Nothobranchius furzeri: one gene and its partners. The main gene of each other region encodes a partner of the protein of the gene in region 3 in a complex. Links are inferred from orthologs where the notes say so. Each region holds a gene or a part of one and is shown on either strand. Other genes may lie near its edges.

What was found. The genes of interacting proteins can lie anywhere in the genome.
Region 1: stac3 (region 3) and cacnb3a share a complex: the UniProt entries of both Homo sapiens proteins name them as parts of the calcium channel complex. The link is inferred for Nothobranchius furzeri from reciprocal best matches to the Homo sapiens genes STAC3 and CACNB3.
Region 2: stac3 (region 3) and cacnb2a share a complex: the UniProt entries of both Homo sapiens proteins name them as parts of the calcium channel complex. The link is inferred for Nothobranchius furzeri from reciprocal best matches to the Homo sapiens genes STAC3 and CACNB2.
Region 4: stac3 (region 3) and cacnb1 share a complex: the UniProt entries of both Homo sapiens proteins name them as parts of the calcium channel complex. The link is inferred for Nothobranchius furzeri from reciprocal best matches to the Homo sapiens genes STAC3 and CACNB1.

Annotation. Positions count from the first base shown.
Region 1 is NC_091755.1:54,936,055-54,941,508, forward strand, and holds the start of cacnb3a (voltage-dependent L-type calcium channel subunit beta-3a), read right to left. Parts: upstream 3,661-5,454; 5' UTR 3,522-3,660; coding exon 3,441-3,521; intron 2,320-3,440; coding exon 2,227-2,319; intron 1-2,226. UniProt on the Homo sapiens protein: Regulatory subunit of the voltage-gated calcium channel that gives rise to L-type calcium currents. Increases CACNA1B peak calcium current and shifts the voltage dependencies of channel activation and inactivation.
Region 2 is NC_091747.1:46,810,653-46,815,971, forward strand, and holds the start of cacnb2a (voltage-dependent L-type calcium channel subunit beta-2a), read left to right. Parts: upstream 1-1,659; 5' UTR 1,660-2,278; coding exon 2,279-2,362; intron 2,363-5,319. UniProt on the Homo sapiens protein: Beta subunit of voltage-dependent calcium channels which contributes to the function of the calcium channel by increasing peak calcium current. Plays a role in shifting voltage dependencies of activation and inactivation of the channel.
Region 3 is NC_091755.1:32,734,160-32,739,585, forward strand, and holds the start of stac3 (SH3 and cysteine-rich domain-containing protein 3), read left to right. Parts: upstream 1-1,949; 5' UTR 1,950-2,148; intron 2,149-2,836; 5' UTR 2,837-2,866; coding exon 2,867-2,874; intron 2,875-3,316; coding exon 3,317-3,395; intron 3,396-3,568; coding exon 3,569-3,725; intron 3,726-3,804; coding exon 3,805-3,902; intron 3,903-4,014; coding exon 4,015-4,075; intron 4,076-5,394; coding exon 5,395-5,426. UniProt on the Homo sapiens protein: Required for normal excitation-contraction coupling in skeletal muscle and for normal muscle contraction in response to membrane depolarization. Required for normal Ca(2+) release from the sarcplasmic reticulum, which ultimately leads to muscle contraction.
Region 4 is NC_091745.1:12,110,942-12,116,511, reverse strand, and holds the start of cacnb1 (voltage-dependent L-type calcium channel subunit beta-1), read left to right. Parts: upstream 1-1,910; 5' UTR 1,911-2,046; coding exon 2,047-2,133; intron 2,134-5,570. UniProt on the Homo sapiens protein: Regulatory subunit of L-type calcium channels. Regulates the activity of L-type calcium channels that contain CACNA1A as pore-forming subunit.

The sequences.
Region 1 (5,454 bases), about 22 Mb from region 3:
TTCAAGTAAGAATTTACCAATGGATGGCCATTAGGGTCAAACATCCCTGGAGCCCAACCTCCAGCTAAATGACACACACGCCAGACTCCCTTTCATCACTGGCAACGACTGAAGAAGTAAATGTGTAAAACGTTTATGAATGGTGAAAGTTTTCTAATCGTTTGTTACAAATCAGTAAATGTATTTTTTATATTTTACTTTGTTTTCATTTTACAGCAAAACGTGTGCAGATGGGGGCATTTATTTGCATCCGTTGCAGTATAATGATCGGTTCACCAGGGACAAGGGCACGCCACTGGGCAGCCGTGGTCAAATGAGGTAAGTCTGTTCTATTTAATGATTTTCTTTCAACAAGGAAGGACAGTGTCCTCGTAAGCAAAGCGCCTTGACATTGAGAAATACCTTAAATAGACCCACTCCCATTTATTTTAGACTTGATTTTTATGCTTATATGTTACATCCTGGCCATGGAACTATGGACCAGCTCTTTATCCTTGCTAGGGTGATGGAGGGGTCATGGAAGTTTGTCCAACCAATCCACATGTGTTTTGTGGATTTGGAAAAGGCTCATGACCGTGTCCCCAGAGGCCCCCTGTGGGGGGGCACTAAGGAGTGAGGGGTGGATGGTCTTTTGTTATGGGCCATTCAGTCCCTGTACCAGAGGAGTGTGAGTTTGGTCCGCATAGCCGGCAGTAAGTGGGACCTGTTCCCAGTGAGGGTTTGACTTCGCTAGGGCTGCCCTTTGTCACCAGTCCTGTTCACAATCTTTATAGACAGGATTTCTGGGTGCAGCCGTGGTGCAGAGGGTGTCGAGTTTGGTGGCAGGAGAATCTCATCAATCCTTTTTGCGGATGATGTGGTCCTCCTAGCTTCATCATGCTCCGACTTTCAGCTCTCGCTGGGGAAGTTCACAGCCAAGTGTGAAGCGGCTGGGATGAGGATCAGCACCTCCAAGTCTGAGACCATGGTTCTCAATCGGAAAAGGGTGGTTTGCCAACTCCCGGTCGGGAGAGAGGTCCTCCGTCAAATGGAGGAGTTTGAGTATCTCGGGGTCTGGTTCACGAGTGAGGGAAGGAGCGAGCGGGAGATCGACAGGCGGATTGGGGCAGCATCTGCAGTGATACGGGCGCTAAACTGATCTGTCGTGGTGAAGAGGGAACTGAGCTAGAAAGCAAGGATCTCAATTTACTAGTTGATCTACGTCCCAATCCTCACCTATGATCATGAGCTTTGGGTGATGATCGAAAGAACAAGATCGCGGGTACAAGCAGCCAAAATGAGTTTTCTTCGCTGGGTGGCCAGGTTCAGCCTTAGAGATAGAGTGAGGGACTCGGACATCCAGGAGGGACTCGGAGTACAGCCAATGCTCCTCCGCATCGAAAGGAGCCAGTTTAGGTGGTTTGAGCATCTGGTCAGGATGCCTCCTGGACGCCTCTCTCAGGAGGTGTTTTGGGCATGCCCTGCTGGCAGGAGGCCCCCGGGTTGACCCAGGACTACCTGGAGGAAATGCATCTCTAGGTTGGCCAGGGAATGTCTGGGTGTCCCAGCTGAGGAGCTGGCAGACGTGGCTGGGGAGAGGATTAGCCTGGGAGGCCGTACTTGGGATGCTGCCCCCGCGACCCAGATAAGTGGAGGGGGGGAAGGTGAGTATGTTTAAATTGGGCATCAATAAATTCATTTTCAACAACATTTTGATGGATATTTCCAGAGACTAATGGTAAAAACTACACATTGTCATTTTAAATGAGGTAATGTTATAATTAGCAGCCATTAAAACCACCAGAATGGAAGGTTTTGTTATATTTTCAGTCTCAGAAATTCTCTTAAATAACACAAAATCTTCACAAGTCTCCCACATGTCTGACCTGAAAACATTCATTAAAACTGGGCTGTGATGGGATGTAACATATTGCTGCTTTACAGCATTTTGCTGTCCTCTACTGGGTAAAACAACTCCTGCAACACAGGAAGCAATGCTGTGCAGTGATGAGGAAGAACAGGAATGATCAGATCAGAGACATGTTTGGTGACTCATTTTTGTAAAACTACAAGTTCTGCAAAATGCTATGACAAAACACCAAAGGAAAACATGTTCTGATGAAGTGCTTGGTCCCACTCTCACACAGCATGACCTACATTTTCTATAGAAACGTTATTCCTCCCACTAAGGTTTACCATCCGTGTGTCGCTGGCAGCAACTAGCATTGAACAAAGAGGAGCGCTTACCTGCCGCTTGATGAAGCTGGATGTGGTGTCAGATGATGTGCTGCCGTCAGAGCGTTTGAAGCGGCTTTTACGTTTAGGCAACTTCCTGGGCAGCTGTGTGGAAAAGACATGCAGATGTTGAAAGGAAAAAGTCAAAGAAGAGGACGTTCTGTTCTGCTCACAAGTCTGACCTGAAAACGTTAATTAAAAACTGGGCTGTGGTGGGATTTACTGCTTTAGCATCTGTGCAATTGCTGCAGCTCCTAATTGTTTTATTTGTGAGTAGCGTTTGTAATTTTAACCAGCTGAAATAGACCTGAGCGTATGGGCACTGTTTTACCCCAAAGTCTTGTAAATGTCAAGTTTACCTAAAATAGAGCAGACCTCCCTTTTGAATACGTTAAATAACCAATATGGAACTCCACTACATCTATGCAGCCAAATCCATATTCATTTCATTTATTCAGGAAATCTTTTGAGATCATAATCTCTTTTTCAAAGGTGACTGGTGCAAGCTGGCACCCCAATAAAAGTTAAAAGCTCAGATTTCTAAATTTACCAGAATTAATAAAAGAAGTTCGGTTTTAGTCCTTAGTTATACACAGTAGAGTCTAAAAAGAGCATTGCACTCCTCCAATTTCCTGTCTAATAGCAAAAATACTAACAAATTATATATATATAACAACTGACACTCTCTGGAACAAGTACTTCTTGTAATCGGTCTATAAAAAGATAGATTTGCACAAATAACACACATCTGAGCTCTGCAGCATGGTTTGAGCTACACAGAAGCACCTCGCTGATTCCAGGCCCCAACAGGTGAGCCGCAACCACAGACATAAGGCTACAGCAGGTTTGTCGTTTTAACACCGAGGGAAAAAGCCGTCCGTCCGTCCGTGCTGCTGCCTGCTTCTCTGCGTTGATGTAGACGAGACGAGGCAGGAAATCATGCTGAAATAAATAATAAAGCATCACTGCCACAGGCCCGATCTGAGAGTCGGGACCGAATGGGCAGATTTGGGGAGATCTGCGGAGGTGTCAGCCTGTTTCTCTGCGGGTGTGACATGTTGGAGCCTGCCGTGCGGGCTCACAAGCTGCGGTTTCACTGAGGTTACAAAGGGGGGAGAGGAGAAGTACGTGTCCCCCACAACAAGTAGCGTTAGAGATGTCAGCTAGTCGTTTCTAAAGACTTCAGCCGGTCGGGGAAGCGTTGGGAGAAAAGTGAGCGGATTTACCTGAAAGTAATGCGACTGGGAGCCCGTTTCCACAGCAGACAAAGGGTCTACGGAAGATTTGGACATTTTGACTTGCATCATCTATCGACAGCGCAGGGAGGCGGCGGGAGGAACACGGACATGCGTTCCTGGAAGGAGCGAGAACGGGAAACAAGCACATAAATGCATGCAGTCCAACTGAAAACAGGTGTGGGGGAGCGGGAATAATATCCAGAGCGAGTAGAGTAAAGACGAGAGAACGGTTTCGGATAAAAAGGAGGAAATGAATCGTGAGAGGAGGACCCACGGGTGGCTGGAGCTAGATAATGTTCACACACCGAATAGTGTATCCCACTGCCTCCTGCATGCTGATGGCTCCTGCTTAGCACACAAGCACAGAGCAGTAAAATAGAAGGAATGAGTTCACGACTTACGTAGTTTGTATAATTTGACTTGCGTAGTTTGAATAATTGAAGGCGTTTCTGTTATTTAATTATAACTATGCTGTCAACGCTGATTAAAAGCAGTAGTCATTTTAAGTGTGATGTTTTATTTTGAAAATTATGACAGGAAGTACTGATGAGTTATGTCTTATTTAACTTAATGAATGTTTGTAGTAACCGCTTATGTCCACCAGATGGCAGAAAAATCCCTACCGTCGAAAGTTAAGGGACTGATTTCCTGTTTCCATCCAGTTAAAAATATAAATGTCATACTGACAGAGTGTGGCTATAAATGAAATAAAAAGTACATATTACAAGTGATTAAATTAAATGTTCACTTAGACATAAAACATATGAACCAGAACCACATTTCTACTCTGATTCTGGTTGTTATAATTGCATTTGGTTTTCTTTTACTTATTTCACCGTCATTGTGAAATCCAAAAATATGAATGTTTTTTTCCTGTTTACAACAAAAATATTTACTTATTTAAATCTCTCTCTCTCTCTCTCTCTCTCTCTCTCTCTCTCTCTCTCTCTCTCTCTCTCTCTCTCCCTCTGTGTGTGTGCTTATTGAAGCTGGGTAATTATTTGTCTTGAAATAATAAATGATGAATGAAATATTCTGATTATACGTTTCAATTTTGAACATTTGCCCACCTAAAGATAAGGATAAAAAACAACAAAATAAAATTGAAAAATACACATAATAATAATAATAATAATAATAATAATAATAATAACAATAACAATAATATAATATTAATAATAATAGGAAGAAGAAGAAGGAGAAGAAGAAGAAGAAGAATGCCTAGAAAATCCTGAAGAAATTTTAAAAAGGGACCTGCCACAAGATAGTGTATAAGTTAAACATAACTCTTGAGAGGCCCTGCCATGTTATTAATTAATAATGTGCGTAATTTATATTTATGCTAATTTTAAGCAAATGGAGAGGAAGAATAATAATAAAGAGAACAAATCCTCCATAAGGGCCCCTGCTTGCAGCAGCTACCAACAACAACAACAATAATGATAATAATAATAATGATAATGTTAATCCTTCTTATCATGGTGGAGGAGTTTGAGTGTCCTAATGATCCTAGGAGCTTTGTTGTTTGGTAGGGTCTCCCATGGCAAACTGGTCCTAGGGCAAGGGTGAGACGAAAAGTGGTTCTGAAGACCTTTCATGAACACTACATCAGAGAGTTTGAGTACCCGACTCGGAGGGTTACCGGGGTCCCACCCTGGAGCCAGGATTGGGGTTGGGGCCCATGGGCGAGTTCCTGGTGGTCGGGCTTTTGGCCATGGGGACCGGCCGGGCCAGCCCGAACTGCAAACATGGGCTCATCCAACTGTGGACCCATCACCTGCAGGAGGCACATGAAGTGTCTGGTGCATAGTAGATAGGGTGGCAGACCCAGGCAGGAGATTTGGCGGTCTGATCCCCAGACAAGAAAACTGGCTATTGGGACATGGAATGTGACCTCTCTGGCGGGAAAGGAGCTGGAGCTTGTGGATGAGGTTGAGCAGTACCGGCTAGATATAATTGGACTCACCTTGACACATAGCTATCTGCTCTGAAACCCGAGTCC
Region 2 (5,319 bases), on a different chromosome or scaffold from region 3:
AGACCACACTTGTTTGTGTGTAAATCTGCTCTTTGGCAGCATTAATGCCATTTTTTTTTTCTTTTACATGTGTGCATCTCTTCAAGGCAGCTGCTGTCAGGATGGAGGAAGGAAGGGCTTTCATCTGGGGCATGTTGATGTGTCCGCTGACTGCTCTGTCAAAATATGAGCTCAGCTTTGGGGGTCATCGAGGCAGCAGAAAAGAACAGGAAACATAAAAATATTTCCCGTTGGATCTAAGAGATGTCTATGCATGGCGATTCTTTTGCACCTGTTATCGTTGTCACACAAAACGACACTAGATCTATTGATTGTTTCCTATTGCAGATGTGCTCTTTTAAAGAGTCTGCAAATGTGTTTCTCTGCTGGTCTTTCTGCAGTGGTTTAATTTAGCTGCTGAAAACAACCACAAGCATCTGTGAGATGTTGAGACGAAACCGTGTTAGTCAGAGATGAACATTTAAAAATGATAAAACAAGAAATACGTGGATAATGTGGGGAAGAAAACTGCTAAACTGGGTATTGCACTTGCTATATACATTTAGTTTTTTTCTTTTTTATTGCATACATTTGAATAACTCTAAAATACAAACAGACTGATTTCTCACTGCCCTTTTTAGTTACATGCAAATTCACACACAGCCACCAGGGGGCAATGACGAACAGCAAAAAATATCAGCTAAACCAATTTCTGCATGTGTTTTATTTGTCAAACCAAGAAAAACAGCAAACATACTCTACTTACTTTGATGTAGGTTTGATGCAGCTGTATAGACAGGTTATAAATTAAAAGGGTCACACAGGTTATAGGCTAAAAACATAGACTCACGCTCTGATTCTTATAGGAATTTGTGAAATAATCTAAAATATTGCATTAATTGTCTGCAGAAACAGAAAAATACAAGAACAAATATTAGATATATTGTTCTTTGAACCGATAATTTACATGATCTAATTAAAGGGAAAACGCAACAGCAGCAGGTAGGAAAGCGCCGCTAACACTGGACGTAGAATCATAACCAAGGTGTTGTGGTCACATTTGTAACCTGTTAATTCAGTAGCAGCAGAAACACGATCAGTGAATCCTAAGGATGCATCGGTCCAGTCAGGTGAGCTGGAAGAGAGCAGGTGGAGGAATATAAATATCACACAACCACAAGAACCTTCAAAGTTTTAAAATTGTGCATGAGAATGGTTGCAGCTGGGTCGGATGGGTAAAGGTTGTGTGTGATATTTAAGAGAAAACATAATTTCTAACTGATGAAAGCAACAAGGATCACCAAGATTAGATTGTTTTCCCTTTTCTTTCACCTTGGAAGTGGATGAAGTTGTACAAAAACGTTTACACTAATAATAAGTTTATGCTTTTCAACTAATTTAACCACTGGTAGGTTCTTCAAGCAATCATTCTTGTTTATTAGATTTTATGCGATCCAGTTTACTCTTTAGGGCCAAATTCTTTTTCTTCTGAGTCCAGTTGCTGTATTTATTGTAGACAGGAGAAAAAGAAGTCTACGGTGACCTGAGTGACCCTACAGGTGAAACTAAAATGCAAAAGTCCATTTATGTCAGTAAGTCACCTTAGACTGAGACACCATCTAAAGGAACCATTTGCAGGTGTTTGGATATATTAGCTGATTAAAGTGTGACACTTAAAAGTGGGGTTTTCATGTTCTGTAATCCATAATAATCTAATTTATAACAAATCAATACTTAAAATATTTGTCTTTGCATGGAATGAGTCTACCTCATATATAAGTTTCACCTTTTAGGTTGTATCACTGACAAAGATGAAGTTTTGCATCATTTTCAAAATGTTTGAGTTTCATCTTAAATGCCTATTCTGAACAGGCCCCTCCCATTGATGGTGTACCACCTTAAGTACAAACTATCAAATAAACAAAGTCTTATCCTATATTTCCACTTGTCAGTTGGATGACTTGCACTTTTCCTTTTTTGTTCATCCTTCACCTGGACGCTGCAACTCATCCCATCCTTTGATCAGGTGAGGAGGCAGAGGAGTTGGAGAAGAGGAGCAGCGGGTCTCAGTCCGTGTGGGAAGGGCTGATCTGATGAGCAGGCTTTCAGATGCTGAAGGCTTTTCATTTGGAAAACAAACACCAAACATCTCGATGCCCGCTGGGTTGTAGCGGCGCCTTGTGTCCGTTTCCGTTCTCCTCGACGGCGTCACCATGAGTTTTGTTTTTTATTTCAGCCAGAACTCAGCTTCTTCCTCCAGCGAAGCGGTCCTGGTGAACGCGTTTGTTCGCGTTCCCTAATGGTCGTCAACAACAGTCCGACAACTAAAGCAGGAGCAGCTCCGGACCGACTCATGGAGAGCGCAGAACACCTGGTGTTACAGGTGAGTTCGTCTCAGTTTGGTTCAGTCACGGATGTTCATATTAACCGTGATTCTGTCCCAAAAAGTATTACTCATTCGTCTCGTAATTCAGGGGGGAAAAAACAACTATTATGACTTTTAATCCCAGAACTTTGACCTCCGAATTTAAGCGTTATAAGAATTCTGACTTTTGATATCAGAGTTATAACTTTGATGCCCAAATTCTGATTTTTAAGAGCAGAATTATGAGTTTAACGCCTGAAATTAGAGTCCGACTGATAGTTTTCCCATTGCTGATCCCAATTTGTAGGAGACATGGTCGGCCGATGGTCATGTGTGCTGCCGGTTTTTATGGGCCGATATCTAAATGTTTTTCACCTTTTTTAATGCAAAAATGTCACTAAAAACATCAGTTAAAGAAAGCACATTTTTACTCTGAATTTCACTAACTGTAAAATCTTAACTTTAAAGTTAAAGTCAGACATTTAAATAAAGGTGATTTAGAGTATTTATTATAGCGCCTTCCTAGGGTTCTACAACCCCCCAAGGCGCTTCACAACACAATCAGTCATTCACCCATCCACACACTGGTCAGCTACAATGTAGCCACTGCTGCCCTGGTGCTGCCGAGCATTGGCGCCACCGGTCCCTCTGACCACCACCAGCCAACAAGTCGGGTAAAGTGTCTTGCCCAAGGACACAACAGCAGCATTCTCTGGTGGAAACTGGGATTGAACAACCTTCTGATTACTGGGCAACTCGCTCAACCTACAGAGCTACTGCTGCCCAGATGTTATTAGTGAACATGAAATTACATTTAAATGAAATTCTGCAACAGTTGGACAATGTTTTATAGAGCAACAACAAATAAGGATTTAGGTAGAGAGATCTCAATCAAGTTTTTTTACTCCGATTCCAAGAAATTTGATTTAGAGCGTCTGCTGATACTGAGTCCTGATCCAATACTTTTCAGAAAAGCATTAAAATAAAATAAAGAAAGAAAAAGTTGTCCTTTACATTTCACTTTCACTTGTTTAGGAAGTTAATTGATTAAAAACATGTTAACATCATGAAATAAAAATTTAAACCAAACCATTTTTGTTCCGTTTGAATATCTCTTGTTTCAGGATGAAATTAGAAAGTTATATTTGTTGTTTTATAAGATATAATCTGATCTTTTTCACCCAATTCTAAACTTCTTAAAATCTCATGATCTGGCCCAATTTCCGATCACGTGATCAGATCGGACCATCCCTATATTTAGCGTTTTCTAGGCATTTTAGCACGTGAGTTAGGTCAATGTTTCTGTTTCATCAGGGGTGTGTTGTGACTCATTGGGGGATAACTTTAAAGAGACAATGTGTTTTTACCATTCATTTCTGGAAATATCCATCAAATTGTTGTTGAAAATGAATGAAATGATGCCCAGTTGTTGAAAAATATTGACGGCTTTGTAACATATAACCATAAAAATACTTGGGAGTGGGTCTATGTCTCTGGGCGACACCATATTAGATGCCATGCTTCCTTCTACAGGAGCCCATGAGGACAAAATGCATTTACTGATTTGTAACAAACGGTTACAAAACGTTTGTCCTTCTTAAATGTTGTTTTCAGTGATGAAAGGGAGTCTGATGCACTTGTTATTTTGCGAAAATTTGCACTCCCCAGGGCTTTTTGACCCTAACCCCGGGTTTCCACGGGAGCCGTCAGCAGCACGTTACTGCAGCAGCACGTCTTGCTCGCGTAAGCTGGTGCTTGGCCCTTCCCACGAGGCGCGAAGCAGCAGGGGAGCAGCTGTCACCTACAGAGCACGAAGTCACACGAGTGACTTCATCAGTAAACACAACAACAAGCAGGAGAAAACTACAACATGGTTTGTGTTTTATGTTCTGTCCGTTTTATAATCGCCAATACGGACCTGAAAAACAAAGGAGACCGCTAGCTAGGTGATAACTTCTCACGGGGACGCACAGTTAGTAACCTTTTTTAAAAGTAAAGCAACCGGAAGGCAGTACGTTCTTTATTCTGAAAATCTCTGTAGCTTCTCTCCATTTCCGCGTCCGATTTCCTGTCTTTCCTTCCCCAAAAATGTCGAACTTGACCCGTTTCAGAGGCGTCGCGCGTAGAAAATAGAACCGGCGCGTAAAGGCCGCGACATGCTGCTCCTGAGACGCGGCCGACTCGCGCTGCTGACGGCTGCCGACGGCTCCAGTGGAAAAGGTTCTGTTGACCACAGCGGTTCCTATCAGCAGCTATGACGTGCTGCTGCAGTAACGTGCTGCTGACGGCTCCCGTGGAAAGCCGGGGTAATGGGCATCCGTTGGTGAGGTCTTACTCCAACACAAAAATACTGCTTGTTTGCAACGATTTAGGTATCTACAGCCCCCTATCACCAGGAAAAACGCACACTGTCACTTCGACAGATATTATTTTATACACTTCTCCATGTAATGCATTTTTATTTTCTTGTCTGATTTTGATTACCTTCATTAAAATTTATATTTTGAATAACAAACAGCTAATTCAACAGATTAATTTGGCCAAACGATGTGTTCGTAGCAAAAAAATCATAGTTTTCACAGACTGTTTGAGCTTTGTAATGAGTATTTGCAATATGTGCATTTAGCATTAAATGTGTGTATTTGTTTATGTCTGGCTCCATTATAACAATGATTGACATGACCAGCCTTTGTTTTGTATTCATGTTTAACACGTCCTGGGGCTTTGGGCTGGAATAAAATACCAACATGTATTTCTACTTTACAGTTGCTATTGACAACAAATGCTGGATGAGTTCTTGTATATTAGGCATCTCATTTTATGGCAAAGTAGACCACCCACATAATTACTATGACCAGGCGATACCAGAATTATTTAACATTGATTATGAAACCCTTAACTACTGAAATAACCATGAGATTGATGTTTGGTAAATTACTCCTACATCCTATCAGAATAAAGAACATTTATGTTTT
Region 3 (5,426 bases):
GTCACATCAGAATAGTGGTTTAGATGAAGAGCCTGCAGAGAAAGGTGGATGAGGTGGATTATGTAATCTGGCAGAGGGGGAGCACGGTGAATATGTGCTACAATAAATCTTTCTTCAAACTGATCTCATTCAACCACACTTGGAAAAAGGAGAGATTACATCGGATGCCCTGCTACCTCAGAAAAAGTTCAACTTCAGAGCAAACTGTGGCTTTTTTGAAGTAGGAGGGTGTGTTTGGGTAGGCCTGTAGTTGATTCGCTATAATGTAAACAGTTGCCTCTCCCAAAACAAAGTCAGAAAACAACAAGCAATGGAAAATAGACTTAAATTAAATCCCACGGAGTCTGAAAAACGTCTAAATGCATGCGTTTAACAACATTACGGTATAAATATTGCAGCTAACGTGTAAGCTAACAGCTAAGCTAACAGGCTAAATCCACTTGGTACTCTGTTGTCGTGACAGCTGTCAGGAGCACTAAACACTCCCGATGCAAAACTCTAGTGTCTTAGCTACGGGTACAAGAAACGAGCGTTGCACGACATTGTTTAGCTAAAAACCTTCATGAAACTTATCCACACATTTCACTTATTAACAAATATTTGTTAGCTAACGTCAACATGTTGTGAACAATCTTTCTCTGCGTCAAGCTATGTGTTGACCACCAAGTTTAGAAGTCTTCGCTCTTTTTCGTTCGCTGGAAAATCAAGAGTTAGCTAGTTAGGACTACTAAATTAATACTAAATAAAATACGTAGAAAACGATCAACACTCTAATAACTAAAACGAATCATTACATAATCCAAATCACGAACTGGCACGGCGAGTCAGCACTCAAATGTTAGTCAACGTCTTCCAGTCGGACTTAAAAACAAAGGGGGCAATAACGCTTCATTTTACTACGCCTGGGTTCTTCTGGAGGCTAGCGTTCCCAGCTAGGCTAACTGGAGGGGCTAACTCAGTGATATTTACTTGTTCTAGAGTGTCCCACAAAGACAGAGGGATGTCCCGTTCCCGCTCCACACCTATCCAGCCGTCGCTTTGGTCTTTCTTCTGCTAATCCGCATAGCATTCAATGGTATTCCGACAAACATAACGACCCGTGTAATCCCCAATTCACAGTTACCCTCTGTTTTTTTCTTACAAATTCCGAGAAAAAAATAATGGAGTTTTGTTTTGCGCAGGCGCACTGAGCACGTAAGGAATATTGTACCCAACATGCAACGAGACATTTGTAGTGTTCCAGTCAGACGTCAATCCACAGGGGGCGCTGTTTGGTGGACAGGACATAACAGAATAATATTCCGTAAACAACTAATAAATACACAAACAAATAAATGTATTATATTTGTGTACAACGTTTTAACCTCTACATCAACAAAATACACCTTTGTAAAAAAGTATTCTGAGTTGGAGTTAATACTGGGCTGACAGCTCAAAAATATTTTGTATATAAACAGAGGAAAAACTTTATAGGATTATTTGTTACAAATGAAATAAAACAACGAATAAAGATGCTTGCTAGAGTGGTTGAGTTACATGGCAGTTATTGTTTAAAAATCAATGTTTCTTTTATGTATTTATCCAGCTTTTGCAGCATCTACTAGCATTCAGAACAACTTGAACATATATATAAATAAAATAGTTTTTACAACTTTGAAAGAGATGTAGTCATTTTTGTTGTTTCTCCTTGGTCTCCCAAAAGAATGGAGGGATACAGGCCCATGAGCAGGACAGATACCTTTGTGTGTGTGTGCGTGCGTGCGTGCGTGCGTGCGTGTGTGTGTGTGTGTGTGTGTGTGTGTGTGTGTGTGTATGTGTGTGTGTGTGTGTGTGTGTGTGTGTGTGTGTGTGTGTGTGTGTGTGTGTGTGTGTGTGTGTGTGTGTAGAGAACATATCTGATTTCTCATCGTCACTGGTGCTTAGTTTGAGGTCCTTCAGCTGTTGCAAACTGTCAACGTCACAAAGCAGTGCTCAGCCTGTCATGCTCACAATTACACCCATAGATACACAAACTTACAGCTTTAATAAATATCTGGGTCGCACTCAGCATTCACGCCCAGTGTGGGAATAACCTGAAGGAAACACAGAGGGACCATACAGTACTGGATCCAGAAGTGCTGAAAAGTGAGGGAGCATTTTGGTCAGTTGGTAAGTCAAACTCTGCTTCAATGGCCACATAACACTTCAGAAAAATCTAGCAGGTGAAGGGAAGCATTTTTTTATTTACCTTTTCTGTGTAACCTCTAATAACTTGGTAAGTGATGGTGAAGTTTATGTGTAATTTTTAATTATGTCTCAAGTAGCAAAAATGCCTAATGGAATCGTTTTGTAGGAACGTTGTGTGAATGCTACATCCATTTAGCCCGTTATTTACTCATTTTTCCTGAAATTCTTTTATGCTGTCTGGAATATTTTCCTGACATGCAGCAGTTCCTAAATTTAGTTTTCAGATCAAATTTCAAAAACCAAGAATAGAGCAGGTCAGGATGACAAATGCTCTTTACCACTGTTTGCTACAAGGTATTAGCTCCGAATGTCACACAGAGAGAGACTAAAGACATGTTTTATGTCTCTGCTTGCTTTATAGTTAATAATTTGACCAGATCCTTGTCTGAAATAGTGAATTTCAACTATAGCAACAATTTCCCTTGTCATCCAGGAACGTGTTTGGTGCTTAAAAACAAACAAGTCCTTCAAAATGTAGGCAAATCAGAAAAGAAACATGCAATCCAAAAGATGTGGCCTTGTTTTGCATTTAGGAAAAACGAGCTACTGACAAACTGCAAGTGCATCTTGAGAAAAGACAGACAGTAAAATGTACATGATTTCTTTTAAGGGTGCAGTATACTGATATTTCCAGCACTCCATGGATCAGTGAGTACAGTTCATGTCCATGTGCTGCATGTTTCTAACATCTCTGTGGGTTTCACTAAATAAAATCTGAGCTCTAAATTTACCAGTGCGACTAAAATCAGGTTTGTTTGAGGTGATGAACGGGGAATCTTGTTGAAGCACATCATGGTTCTCCTCAATGTTCCTGGTTTAAGAGTTCACTCATCAAAAAGGTGTGTGTTTGGATTTATATGTAACTGGTCTGGATCCTGGAGCCCTATCACCAGCTGGTTGATGTTTGTGCATGATGGGAAAAGGTGCGATGTAAAAAAAAATGTCCTTCAAACTTTGAGCAGTTTTCACATTAACGTTTGCTGATAAATCTCCTCACATGATCCAGATGTTCCCTCTGCGATACGTTTTTACACCACAGTCATGGCAGGTGGCTTCAGTTGGTCTTCATCTTTCTCTTTGTGCTTCTTAGAGAGGATGACAAAAACTCCGTGGACATCCACGACAATCCTCCAGCCCCTGACAATGTAGTGAGGGAGGAAGGAGACACGGTGAGTGGCAGCACCACGTCAACCACTCGCTATTAGCAGCCGTTCTCAGGCTGATTAAAATAGCCTCCAGCTGGGACGGGACTGCAATATGGTGTTTGTTTATATCTCATGAGTTAATAAATAAGTCCTGATCACCTGTATGGAACTGTTCTCTTCTTCGTCTTTGCTTGCAGGTCTATTTTATTTATGAGGAGGAGGTGGAGGTAGAGGAGAAGGAACCAGAACCTCCTTCCGAGCCCATTGTTCGGATCAATGACAAACCTCACAAGTTTAAGGACCATTACTGCAAGAAACCCAAGTTCTGTGACGTCTGCGCTCGCATGATAGTCTGTACGTGTTTAACCCAGAAAATATCACGAGACATATTTTGAGATTTATGATGATTCGGTTAACTTTGCACATCTCTTAGTGAACAACAAATTTTGTCTGAGGTGTAAAAACTGCAAGACCAACATCCACCATTCGTGTCAGTCCTATGTCGAGTTCCAGAAGTGCTTTGGAAAAATCGTGAGTTTTCTCTCTCTCACACACATTTGAATTTAAATGTCTAAAAAAGCACTACAGGACTAAATGGAAGGTTTTAGTTGAAATTTTTTCTTTTTTTTTCTTTGTCTTGTAGCCACCTGGCTTTAGAAGAGCCTATAGTTCTCCTCTGTACAGCAGCGACATCCCAGATCCAAGTGAGTCCATCAAACCTTCAATCACTCCTAGAATTAGTAATCCTTTATTTATTACTGCTAAATCAGAGTAAAATAATTAAATTTTACGGTGAATTCTTTTAAGCAGATGTGTAAAATTAGTAGGGAGGTCGGAAATATCGACATCAACATCATATCGGCTGATGTTTGTTTTTTATCTGTGTATCGGTCCAATAAGTAAAACTTGGCTGATACTTTCTTCCATCTAGTTGCTATTGTTGTATCTTGGAGAGAGATGGTCATGCAGTGAATTTTTAATCATGTCAATCAGTCAATCAATCAATCATTGAGAGCAATCTACAATTTATAATGGTTAGAAGTGCCCAATGTTGAAAAATCTTCCTTACAAAGGTGTAATTATATTTTAGGGATGTCCGTTACTAACAGCTAATGTTGGCATTTAAGGTGCATTATGTAGAAATGAAGTAAATATGACAATCTGTGGTAAAATCTGGTTGCTGCAATCACTTTAAACAACTCTGGAGCTTTTTGCCGGCCGTAGTCAAATTACAACTATCGGCGCTGCAGTATTAGCTCGCAGGAGACACAACAACCCCACACTTGTCATGTTCTGCGGGTGGTGGGTTTCAGGAGGCAGATGAGCAGGCAACGGATGAAAAAATTAAAAGATGTTTAATCGTAGACTGGGAGCAACAGGACGAACGAACATGCACAAACGACAATGAACCGACAAAGACAGCAACAAGGAGGGAGGTATAAATACACAAGGGAATCAGGAACACATGGGCAGAGTAATGAGGGACAGGTGAGAACAATAAGGCTAATCAGGGCAGGAGAGACACAGTCAGGGAGGCCGGGGCGGATCATGACAACACTCACTGGTAGTAAACACTAGTTACGTCCATCTTTCCTTTGTTTTGAAATGAGATGAACTGACAATCCTCACAGCCAGCTGGATATGAAATGTGTTTAAATATAACCTTCCTTCTAAAATGACCAACACTTTTTGGATTTTCTCACTGTAGATTTTTCACTATATTTTTACATAGTGCACCTTTAAAATGTAATATCAGAAATAATGAGTTGATTTTCACTCTTTTAATGACACAACTTTTACATGCCATGTACATATTAAACATCAAATTCTTCAGCATGGTCTAATAATAGCCATTTAATATTAGCCCATTTTTTGTATCAGTGCATCCCTAAAAATTTGAGATAAAAAAATCTAATGTTTGTAATGCCTGGACTATAGCATTTTCTACAGATTATTCATTAAATAAAGCTTTATAATTGAAAGTGCTGATATTTTCTGGCCAAAATTTTCCATCCGACACCAGACAACCCAAACCGAAACGACCCAGTCTTTGAC
Region 4 (5,570 bases), on a different chromosome or scaffold from region 3:
TTAACACCCTTTCTGGGTCTAGAGGCTCCTGCTGCAAAACTACATTGGGCTCACTTCTGGCTGGCTGCTGTTCTTCCAGTTCGTCCTTCTGTGACGGCGTTAGCGCAACAGCGTCTTACGCCGCATTTCCCGCCACATCTTCGGGTCGTGTCTCCTCCGGGTCTGGCTCGGGCCCGGCCTTTGGCTCTGCTGACCTATCGCAGGTTCACAGCTGTCGGCCGGCTGCCCGAGCAGCTCGACAGAAACTTCTGTAAAGCTCCCCGCTGTCTCGTCTTTTGTTCCTCTTCATTTTTTTTCTTTTTACATTTTGACGCACCTGAAAGCATCGTGAAAGTTAGCCTACTCAAAAACTCCTGCTAGCTTTGTTGTGTCCCGCTCTGACTCTGACCGCTTCACCGACGCCCTTAATTAGGTGGCGCCCAAGTTGTAAGCTACAGTCATGGGCTGGCGTTAATGTGACGTAGCTAATGTAACGGTCTATGTTCAAGATAAACATTGTCACTATTTTTAGTTAATTAAAAAATATTGAAATAAACTGTAGATATGAGTCCTATCTACAAATTCTATCATAGGACATTTGTACATTTTATTTTTGATTTATTTATTTTTAATTTTGTCCCTCTGTCTGGGCCCCATCCAGCCAATCAGGCCCTAGGCACGTGCCTACTTTGCCTTTGCGTTAATCCGGCTCTGACGGCTCCACCATTATTTATGACTGTTCTTTGTGGCCAAACGGCAGGAAATGCCTTTTATGCTTATGTATGTATGTATATATACATATATATATATATATATATATATATATATATATATATATATATATATATATATATATATATATATTCTAGCTATTATTAGGAAAAGTGAATATACAGATTAGTACAGTTCTGCTCAGTTTAATGTGAAAGGAAACTAAATTAAAGTTCAGCATGAATTCTGTTACCTTAAAATATTTTACGCAATTATTGTTCTCAAACTGAATCATTTTTAAAAATTAAAAATGGGAAAACACAAAATTCATGAAAGGTAAAGCTGAAATGAATCTTTACACGTGTTTGTCTCTGGTGTGACGTCAACACTCCTACTCTGGGGTCAACCTTAGGTCACAAATGGAGCAGGGTCTCTGGGTAGTCTCACTCAGCCTCTTCAGACTCTGATCCAGGAGAAAACTAAGGACAGGCTGAGATGGTTCCTTCTGTTTTACAGGCAGCCCCGCGGGACTCTGGGGAGGTCTGAACACCTCCAGCCTGTCATGGAGCTCTGCTGCGGTCTCATCACTCATCACCGTAAAGGTGGGGTCTCTTCACTGGGGCGTGGACCTCGGCTTCCAGCTGGAGGCTGATGAGCGCACACAGGAACAGAGAGGGCGTCAAGAGGGATGAAAAACACAAGCACGGCAGTAGTTGGAGGATGTTGCCTTCAAAATAAAAGCACACTCTGCTTCTCAAGGTGCTTGTTTGGATCTGGATTTTCAGTCTCAAATGTCTCTTTGGGTAGCTCGTTATTAACATTCATTCACCCTCATTGTAATTCTGTCCATGATGCTGTGTAATAAGTTTTATTCGATTTCCACGTATTAAAGATTGATAAACATGGCAAAAAACAAACAAAAAAAACATGCAGGGCAACTGGGAACACTGTGGTTTGAATTTTGGTGTAGAATTTTCATCATTGTAATAATAATAATAATAATAATAATAATAATAATAATAATAATAATAATAATAATAATAATAATAATAATAATAATTATTATTATTATTATTATTATTATTATTATATTAAAAACTCTTATTCTGTAACCGGAAACGCTCTTGCGTCGGTGCGGAGCCCTCCCAGCCTGTCGGTACTTGGTGACAGTAGCTGAAGGCTGGAGGAAGGCAGCTGTTGCCATTATTTAACCAACCAGCTCAGAAACATCAGCGGCTTTTCCTCCTTCCCTAGACGAGAAATAAAAAGATAAAGTAAGTAAAATAAAAAAGATGCGACTATCAGCACCGTCATAAATTAACAAGACTGAAAGAGATTCCTCGAAACTGAAATCAAATGGTACAGAAAAGTAATAGTATGTCCAGGACGCCTTCGACCCCCAACCAGGAGATCCCCATGGGCATGATCGACCACCATCCACAGGTAAGAACCACAGAGACATGTCACCTATCGCCTCTTTTCACTGTTTACACGTTGATGATGCTCCATTCCGGAGATTAACAGGTTGTTCTTCGGTCTGCTGCTTGTGCGCGCGCGTTACAGCTGCGCTTTTATTTTCTAATAGAGAAATGGGGTTTGTTGTTTTATAGTCGATCATTTTGTACGTAGGAAACAGCAAGTCTGTTGGCGCTTTAAGCACAAATGAAACGCCTGTTGTCTAACACAAATTAACCGGAATGTACCACGTAGACGTCCAACGAGTTGTTGATCTGAGTAAATGATTAAAATCCTTTAGGCTACACATCTGATCGGCATGGTAAGCATTTAGGGAATTACTGTAATCTGCAACTGTTTAAAGATAATTAATGAGGATTCTTGTCTGTATGTTTTACTGAAGCATGCACTAAACTTAACTAGCCAAAATAAATAATAAACAGGAGGTGTATTAATAAAAATGTGAGTAATAATAATAATGATGAAGATAGTAAAAGAAACACTTAACTGAGAAAGTAAAACTGCTGAAAAAGTGGGCAAAATTTATATTAAAACTAATTTGGATATATATATATATATATATATATATATATATATATACACACACATATGTATATATATATGTATATATGTATATATATGTTATGTATATATACATATATATATATATATATATATATATATATATATATATATATATATATATATATATATATATATACACACATATATATATGTGTATATGTGGGCGACGGTGGCACAGGAGTTAAGTGCTCGCCCCGCAATCGGAAGGTTGCAGGTTTGAGCCCCGCTCAGTCTGTCGCTGTCATTGTGTCCTTGGGCAAGACACTTAACCCACCTTGCCTGCTGGTGGTGGTCGGAGAGACCGGTGGCGCCAGTGCTCGGCAGCCTCGCCTCTGTCAGTGCGCCCCAGGGCAGCTGTGGCTACATTGTAGCTCATCCCCACCAGTGTGTGAATGTGTGTGTGAATGGGTGAATGACTGATTGCGTTGGAAAGCGCCTTGGGGGGTTCCAGGACTCTAGAAGGCGCTATATCAAATACAGGCCATTTACCATTTACCATATATATATATATATATATATATATACGTGTGTATATATACATATATATATGTATATATATGTATATATATGTATATGTATATATATATATATATATGTATATATATGTATGTATATATATATATATACATATATATATATATATATATATATATATATATATATGTATATGTATATATACACACGTATATATATATATATATATATATATATATATATATATATATATATATATATATATATATATGTATGTATGTATGTATGTATATATTATAGCCCAGTTTGCCCATTAAAGTATACACCAAATCATCCTGTTTTTTCTATTTTTATTTGCCATGCTTTAATGACACTGGTCTGTTGAAAGGTTCATTGAAGCGCTGATGGTTTGGTTGTTAAACAGTGGGCATGTTTAGTCATGACTCTTTAAAGTGATGTTTTTTAAATTAAGATGAAAATATCTAGAACAAACACACCCACACTGAGATCAGTCATTGTGTCTCTAGAGAAGAAAAACCAGCTCATCACAGACAACCAGCGTTTTAAACCATGCCAAGTCCTGCTCTCTCCTCTTTACTCCCACTCTTCCCAGCTCCCTCTCATCCCTCAGCTTCTTCCACATCTTCTGTGAGTGTCCCGCTCACTCTCGCCATCTCACCTCTTCATGTCTGCTTTTAGAAATCAGATCTTTTATCAGCTGAGAGGGAGCAGTGAGAAACAGATGGACGACCTCCTGGTGCAGGCAGCGTGGCTTTCTGAGTGTTTTTATGTGTGTATGACACCTCCCATCAGTCACACAGCTCTCATGTTGACGTGCAAAAAGTTACACTGTTTTTATGCATTTATAACTACGACAAACAGAGAAAATAAAACTAGAACATCTGGAAAGAGATGATGTGAGAAATAGAAATGACTTGTGGGTGGAGAACTTGCTTGAATTCAGAACTGGGCGTGTCTCAGATTAAAGATCCTGTCTGCTGACCGCAATCAGATTGCAGGTGAATCTCTGAGCAGAATGACAGAGGATTCTCCTGTAAAAGCAGAAAAATTCCTTGTCAGTGTTTTACCACCTCATCATGCAGCCTCTTTAATTATGCACTTATCTGAGAGGATGTTTACCAACAGGAAGCCTCCACACCCTTTCTCCGCCCTTTCCTGACAGGAATCAGAGATCCTTCCTTAAGGCTGATTCATACTGACATTGCTCCAGCATGTCGGATCTGTTGGATCGCCATGATGTGGCGTCGTATGGGCGATCCAACAGTGTTGGGTCGTGTTGGAATGTCGGTTGGAGTCGAGCTCTATTTTCTAAACATCGGACAGCGGCGTTGTATGCATGGGCGTCTGTTATTGGTCAGCCAAACAACCCAACGTCATTTCCGGCACGACGTAGCTTACCTTAAAAAATGTAAACAGCACGAGTGTTTACACAGTCCTGAAGACTCGTTCTCGCTGTGCTCTTTCTAATAATAGTTGTTGTGTCACGCTGTGAGTTGGGGGAGGTTAGGACCCAAGATGCAGACACAGGATGACACAAGGCAGGAGTAGTGAAAACGTAAAAAATCCTTTATTTAGGGGTAAATTCAAAGGGCTGGAAGCCAAAAACCAAAAATCCAAAAAAACCAAGAGTCAAAACCCTGGGAACATCCAAAAACACAAGAGACCTAGAGAACGTCAAAATACCTAGAGAGGGGATGAGCAAACGCTGACACAAACAATGGACCAACAACCACACTGAAGGTTATATCAAGGGCTAGGTGAGTAGGGAATTGTGCACAGGTGAGACCAATAAACAAAGGAAGAGCACAACGAAGCAGGGGAGGAAACCAGACCTAAAAATGGGGAAGGGCGCAAAATGAACTAGAGGGAGAAAACAGACTAGATAAAACACTTAACAGAAGACTAATGATAAAAGGTGTCTAAGGAAAAACGTAAGGGAAACCTAGAGAGCCTGGAGGGGGTTGGGGAGACACCGGGACGCTGAAACCTGGGGGGAACACCTAAGGGGAAAAAACCTGGAGTGGTCTGGGGAACACAAGGAGGCACATGAGGAGGGATGCAGACAAGGAGACACATGAGGGAGACGCAGGACGCAGACCATAACATGTTGTTCTTCTAGCTCAAGCAGCTCCTGCTTCGCTCTGTGTCGCCCATCTTTTCGCGTCGCAAATAGTAAATACCGTAAATCCTCTAATATTAGCCTGTATTTAATTAACTGCTGGGTATCATATTTTGGTCGGAGTCGGCGGAGGTGAATAATGGCCGTGTTTTTATTGTGGCCGGGTGGAATGTGGAAACAAGCAAGTACGGGGGCGGCTGTGTTATCCGTTTCACTTTTGATTTGC